Daphnia pulex: one gene and its partner. The protein of the gene in region 1 binds, or shares a complex with, the protein of each later gene. Links are inferred from orthologs where the notes say so. Each region holds a gene or a part of one and is shown in the gene's direction. Other genes may lie near its edges.

What was found. The genes of interacting proteins can lie anywhere in the genome.
Region 2: pre-mRNA-processing factor 6-like (region 1) and thioredoxin-like protein 4A share a complex: the UniProt entries of both Homo sapiens proteins name them as parts of the U4/U6-U5 tri-snRNP complex. The link is inferred for Daphnia pulex from reciprocal best matches to the Homo sapiens genes PRPF6 and TXNL4A.

What each region holds. Positions count from the first base shown.
Region 1 is NC_060027.1:3,689,157-3,693,496, reverse strand, and holds the start of pre-mRNA-processing factor 6-like, read left to right. Parts: upstream 1-1,445; 5' UTR 1,446-1,457; coding exon 1,458-1,548; intron 1,549-1,627; coding exon 1,628-1,767; intron 1,768-1,825; coding exon 1,826-2,009; intron 2,010-2,083; coding exon 2,084-2,121; intron 2,122-2,184; coding exon 2,185-2,380; intron 2,381-2,453; coding exon 2,454-2,549; intron 2,550-2,621; coding exon 2,622-2,776; intron 2,777-2,846; coding exon 2,847-2,874; intron 2,875-2,934; coding exon 2,935-3,112; intron 3,113-3,183; coding exon 3,184-3,346; intron 3,347-3,403; coding exon 3,404-3,565; intron 3,566-3,659; coding exon 3,660-3,799; intron 3,800-3,879; coding exon 3,880-4,030; intron 4,031-4,340. Other genes in the region: endoglucanase 12-like, read left to right, coding at 31-170, 245-473. UniProt on the Homo sapiens protein: Involved in pre-mRNA splicing as component of the U4/U6-U5 tri-snRNP complex, one of the building blocks of the spliceosome.
Region 2 is NC_060018.1:1,947,636-1,950,256, forward strand, and holds thioredoxin-like protein 4A, read left to right. Parts: upstream 1-1,232; 5' UTR 1,233-1,364; coding exon 1,365-1,442; intron 1,443-1,499; coding exon 1,500-1,636; intron 1,637-1,700; coding exon 1,701-1,914; 3' UTR 1,915-1,979; downstream 1,980-2,621. Other genes in the region: polyprenol reductase-like, read right to left, coding at 1-57, 130-324, 391-539, 610-797; tyrosine-protein kinase CSK-like, read left to right, coding at 2,570-2,621. UniProt on the Homo sapiens protein: Plays a role in pre-mRNA splicing as component of the U5 snRNP and U4/U6-U5 tri-snRNP complexes that are involved in spliceosome assembly, and as component of the precatalytic spliceosome (spliceosome B complex).

The sequences.
Region 1 (4,340 bases):
TGAGTCTTAAATCTTACACCGATTCAAAAGGCGGCTGACCTCAACATCAATCCATTGGCGTATCGCAAACTGGCGCAACAACAAATTCATTATGCGCTTGGAGATACAGGCCGTAGTTTTGTCGTGGGTTTTGGAGTTAATCCGCCGTTGAAACCTCATCATGCGTCCAGGTTTGAATAAAACATTGTGCTTATAAATATGATAGCATTATTATTTTTTAATGTTTTTATTTTTTTTTATGTAGTTCATGTCCGAATAGACCAGCTGTTTGTGATTGGAGCACTTATTCCTCAACTGCACCCAATCCCCAGGTGCTTTATGGAGGTCTAGTTGGTGGTCCAGATAGCAACGACAATTACACGGATGATCGGAGCAATTACGTTACCAACGAAGTAGCTTGCGATTATAACGCCGGCTTCCAAGGATCTGTAGCTGCTTTGCAATCATTGGCTGTCCAAGGTGTTTTCAACTAGAATACAAATTTACAAGATAAGACAGGAATTTGTTACACAACTATATTATATACCTACATTTTAGAAAGTATATTTTACTCTTAATTCTGCATGGTTATCTGCTACAGTACTGCTGATCTTGTTGGTTTTCTTGGAAATGGGATTTATTACTAAAGGTTAAAAAACGCCTGCATTTGTGTGTTCTTGAAAAGTTAAATAAAATTTGGTGATACATTTCTCAAACTATTGGTAACTTTTCAACCGATGCGCATGTCACGAAGAATCGTCTATTAATCTGAAAGAGTATAAGGAAAGTCTGGAATACGTTTGAGTTCGATGTCCTTTTCAAGGTAAAGGTGGTAGCTCGCGTGTTGTTTCATTCAATCTGAAACCTGAATTATGCAACTGCTGAATTCAATAGAAGATGTTGATAAATTGATTTCCACACCTAATTGATTTCCAAGTTCCCAAACATCACAATAGGCTAGTCATTAATCTAGCGTCGAAGTTGATTGGTTTCAAACAAGAACATCTGAAATCCGCACAGGGGGTGATAAACTGATGTATAGAAATCGAAAAATGCAACAAGCGTAACTACGTTTTCCGCGAAGAAACCCGTAAAGAGATTTCGCTGAAATTCCTCGTGCAAAAGAAGTCGTAGTTATCAAGGCTATAGTTCCATCGGGAAAAAAATAAGACAATTTTTAAAAATGTCTAAACAAAAGAATTTTGTGCGTCATCCATATTATAAAATCTACTTGAAACTGGTAGTGTGAGTATGCATTCCATCGAATGGGTCCTGTATTTCCTAATACCAGTGCGTTGCTCAAGTAATTCTTTTCCTCTAAAATGGTTTTAATATGGTGATGGTATTCTTGTTACGCAACTGTATTTTCGTTATTTTTTAATTATTGTGAAGTAATATGCAATAACGTAAAAGAGTTGAGTCTGTGCCGTGTATGCTTTGACCGAATGTAAAGTATAAAAAGGCGAGCGGGACGAACGATGCTGACAGAGAATCCAGCAAACTTACTACCGAGAATGTTGTCTTTATCCGGCTTCATCGTTATTCTTCTTTTCATGCATCTAGCTTCCGGTAAATATTCTTCCGTGTGGTTCCTCATATTTAACATGATTATAGAGTTGAAAAATACACCAATCAAAATAATAAATAGGAGGACCGTGCGATAATGTCGTCACAATTAGCTCATCTTGGCCGGGAGGCTTGACTGCCTCGCTTAATATTTCAATTACGACTCCAATCACTTCATGGGAAATTGACCTGAAATTTTCATCGGCCGTTCCATGGTTAAAGGTATGACACGCTCCTGTTACATCATAGATAGCATTTTTGAATATTTTTATTTTTAAAGGCTTGGGACGCTACAGAGTCTAAGATTAATGAAGTGGAATATCAGCTGAGAAACCTCAGTTCTAACGGAGTTCAGAGCGCTGGGGCTACACTGACGAGTGTCGGTTTTAATGCTTTCTTTAGTTCCAGCACCACACCCATTATTACAAGCGTACTTTTTAACGGAGACAACGTCTGTTTAATTGGTAAGTAACTAAATTATTAATCGTAATAATAGAGAATTTTTGGTTAAATTTTGTTTTTATTATGTCCTTCCAAGACACTAAAACAGAGGCTAGACAACCGATAATAGAAGAAGTAATAAATTTTAATTCTTTGGCATAAAATGGAAAAAGTTGTACTAAATGAAGCAATTTCTAGGAGAACAACCTTTTAGTGGATGCCTGGCCGACTAAATACAATTACCGTGAAGTAATCACCAAATCATTGCTCTTCTACTATGCCCAGCGCTCTGGGCGCTTGCCAGTAAACGATAACCCCATTCCGTATCGTTCAGACTCGGCGCTCAACGATCGTGGACAAGACGGAGAAGATCTCACTGGAGGCTATTACGATGGTAATTTATACTATTATTTGTATTCTATTTTATTCCATCAAAGTATTTGAAATTCTTTACCATATTTATTTAGCTGGAGATCACTTGAAACTCGGTTTTCCTTTAGCCAGTTCTATAACGATAGTGGCTTGGTCGATAATTGATTATCCGCTTGGATATTCTTCCGCAGGTTTTAAAAATTTAAACCAATTTCTCGTTGAATCAGATCACTAAACTTACTGGATTAATTTAAATAATACAGGGAAATTAACAACAGCTCGAAATATGGTCAAGTGGGCGACAGATTACTTTATCAAGGCCCATGTGCAAACTAACAAATTTTATGGGCAAGTGGGCGATGGCGATCTCGATCACGATTACTGGGGACGTCCCGAAGAAATGACCATGAAACGACCGGTATAAAGCCCTGACCCATTATTAAACTCATTTATTTCATCGACTGAAAACTACATTTCTATCGCTTTAGGCTTTTTTTATATCTACCTCAAAACCTGGTAATTTGTTTTTAAATTATATTGTCGTTCAAAGAAATAACACAACATTGCGCACGATAGGGTCTGACTTGGCCGGTGAAACAGCTGCCGCACTTGCCGCAACTTCAATAGTTTTTAAAACAGTCGACAGCACTTACTCAGCTCTTTGCTTGACACATGCAAAGCAATTGTACGATTTTGCTAAACGACATCGAGGAATATACAGCGAGTCCATCCCACAAGTAGCAGATTTTTATTCGTAAAAGCTTTAAATTTAATAAAATTGTTGCGTTTGATGTGTATCCGGTATAATATCACAATTGCCTGTAGGTCAAGTGGTTTCGGTGACGAACTGGCTTGGAGCGCTAGTTGGTTATACCGAGCTACTAACGATAACGCTTACCTCGACGATGCTAAGGCATTTTACACCGATTTCAACCTCTCCGATAATCCATCGGAATTTTCATGGGATACGAAAACTGCCGGAGTACAGGTAAATCAGTTATATTTGTTTAATTATTGTTCCGTTAATGCCATTTAATTCATATAGGTTCTGTTGGCCAAACTGACAAATGAGAACCTCTACAGAAACGCAGCGAAAACTTTCTGTGATTCCAAAGTTGAACAACCGAAGACGCCAAAGGGGCTCCTATTTGTTACCAAGTGGGGATCTTTAGGCGCCGCATCAAATATCGCTTTCATTTGTCTTCAAGTATTTAAAAAAAAAATTATATTCACAATTTTACGCCTGGTGATTAAAAATACGTTAAACTAATATATTAATATATTATTCACTTATTCCGTAGGCTGCCGATCTGAACATCAATCCATTGGCGTATCGCCAACTGGCGCAACAGCAGATTCATTATGCACTTGGAGATACAGGCCGTAGTTTTGTCGTGGGTTTCGGGCACAATCCACCACTGAAGCCACATCATGCGTCCAGGTTCGTGTTTTTAGCTTCTTGTTCATACAATAGATATCCAGAAATATTATACACATTTCTAATTTTTCGTCTTTTTGCAGTTCATGTCCGAATAGGCCCGCCGTTTGCGATTGGGATGCCTTTGATTCACCCAATCCTAATCCCCAGATCCTCTATGGAGCTCTAATTGGTGGCCCAGATAACCAAAATGACCATTACGTAGATGACAGACACAATTTCGTTACGAACGAAGTAGCTTGCGATTATAACGCGGGCTTCCAGGCGTCTGTAGCTGCTCTGCAATCACTGGCTGTTAACGGAATCTTCAACTAGAAGCAGTGCAGGAACATGGAAGATGAGATGAAGAAGATATTTAATATTTTCATCCGCCTTTCGTTTTAGTAATAAATCTTCTCGGTGTTTTTGGTTGTTCGGAATGTGTCAAATAACAATCGGGAAAATTTTTTTGAAAGGGAAAACATAATTATGAGCATTACGAAATTTGGCAACACCGGTGTCGCACTTCAGACGCACATTGCAAAAGTCGAAAACAGACTGCCAA
Region 2 (2,621 bases), on another chromosome or scaffold:
TTATGCCAAAAATGGGTTGTAAAGGGATATCATTGCTATTTGGTATCCATACAAAATCTAGATTGTTCAACAATAAATTAAAGAAAAGATTATCATGTAATGGGAAAATATTGTGTTGGTAACACCTACCATTTGTACTGGAATAGTCAGCTGAGTATGAAAGTATGACAGTGGCACACCCCCAATAATGTAGATAGCCAACTAAATAATGGCCAAGGTTCATTTTTGAATCAGCAAAAACAGTGACACACAAACATTCATACAACCTCCTGGATGTTTGCAGGAAAAAAAGTACAGCAGCTAATAGTGATAACTCAGGGCTAGCTTTATAAATAGACAATATTTTAACAATACAGAATGAATAAAATTTTGTTAAAATTGTTCAGTTACCTAAAGGATTGTGAGTGTATGGTGATACAAAACTAATGTATGAGGTTACAAGCGTAGATAATTGATTCTTCAACACAATCTTCCACATCATTGTTATGAGAACCAGGAATGTATAGAATACTCCAAACACATAAAAGTGTGTAAACCAACTTAATTTAGCAGATTAAAATAAATTTTTAATTTTAATTGTAAAGGAATCAGCAGTAGTAACTTTAATACCTCTTCGGAATAAGGATAGTTCTGATTGAACTGCCAAATACCTTACCTTCACAACTTTTCCCATAAGAGTAGAGATCAATTATAATCTTTGGTATCCACTTAGTATCAACAACAAACACAAGAATACCAAGAATGGAACTCATGCTCAACAAAATAAAGATGGTAATAACAATGCTTATTGTGATCATGGCCGGTGTTGAGACTATTGGCTATCTTGAAGGAATGGCTGAGTTATTAATTCGTTTAGATTGAAAGCATAGTCGGTTTTCAACAGGTTATGTAAAAAGAGATTTGATTTTACGTAAAAGCACAACTGGTTTTTCGGGTTTCTGAAGGCGACCCCGTGCCATGAAGTCTGAACGAAAAATTGAAAACAAATGATAAGAGGAAGGGGGCCAGGGGGGGAATTCGAAAGTATTGCCACTTGCCAGATCTTAAGAATAATCCCTTATTAGAAATAAATTTTATTTTACTTTTAAAATGTTTTATTAGTAAAACTTTAAATATTTTATAGTTAACTATACACATTTTTATACTGTTAAATATGTTTATATTCCTTGGGAGTTGGGAATGAATTTGTAAAGAAAGTGGATGAAAATTTCACACACAGATGTCGTGTTACTCGTGAAGTTGACAGACGCATTATTTACCTTTTTCGGGTTTCTGAAAGGAAAGGTTTGAAAACGTGAAGCGAGATCTATTTCTAAGCACTGTTCAGCTTTTTCTTTTTTCACGACCTTTATCAATCAAACAATATGTCTTACATGTTACAGCATCTTGTTAATGGTTGGCAAGTAGATCAAGCAATTCTTTCAGAAGAGGACCGTTTAGTGGTAAATCAAACTTTCTCTAGTTAATATTACTATCAATTTAAACATGCTTTACTACAGGTTATTCGTTTTGGTCATGATTGGGACCCAACTTGCATGAAAATGGATGAAGTGCTTTATCAAATTGCAGAGAAAGTCAAGAACTTTGCTGTCATCTATTTAGTGGATATCACCCAAGTTCCTGACTTCAATAAGATGTAATTTCATATTTACATTGTATGAATGAATCCCAATAATGATTTTCACTGTTTTTCTATATAGGTACGAGTTGTATGATCCTTGCACAAACATGTTTTTCTTCCGTAACAAACACATTATGATAGATTTAGGCACTGGTAACAACAATAAAATCAACTGGGCAATAGAAGATAAACAAGAAATGATTGACATTGTGGAAACAGTCTATCGTGGAGCCAGAAAAGGTCGAGGTTTGGTTGTTTCACCGAAAGATTATTCTACCAAATATCGCTATTAACTGTGTTGTTCAATTAAATGACACTGGATTAAAAACTAATAAATGATGACACTTTTGAATCCCCATTTTCATAAATTGTTTGTCTCATAAATTGACCATCAAGTAAACACATCGTACAACAATCGTTACAACAATTACATTATATTACTTACGGTTAGGTTTCCGAACAGTGATTTAACTTACCATGAAAATTTATTTCAATTATTTTATATTTTACGTATACCGTACGTAGTTATTAGCAGGTAACGAATACTTCCCAAAAAGAACTCGAGATAGAGTGACATGTCCATTTAGTTTAAACTTAAGCCACTAGGTGCTCGACACTATGGCGGCAGTCTGTTTCCTGCCTGTTTCTTGTTTCGCCCCGTCAGATTAAATGAATGTAACCGTTTCAATAGCTCGGTTAGAACAATGTGTCATATACCCCTAAGTGAAGACATCAAAACTTTTTACTTATGAATGTGCTGATCCCCATGAAAGTACCATAAAGTGAAGAGGATAACAGGTGTTTACAGCCGGTGGCCGTCCAACAACGAACTTGTACTTATTGAACTCCGTGTGCACCACTGTATATTTTTGTTGCCTTTGAGGTGTGTCTGAAACGGTTTTATCTTCCTTTAAAGGTATAAGTGTGAAATTGAACTACTCTTAGTGAATGCCTTCAAACAACGAAATGAACAAGAAACTAGAAGTAAAACTTCATGCAA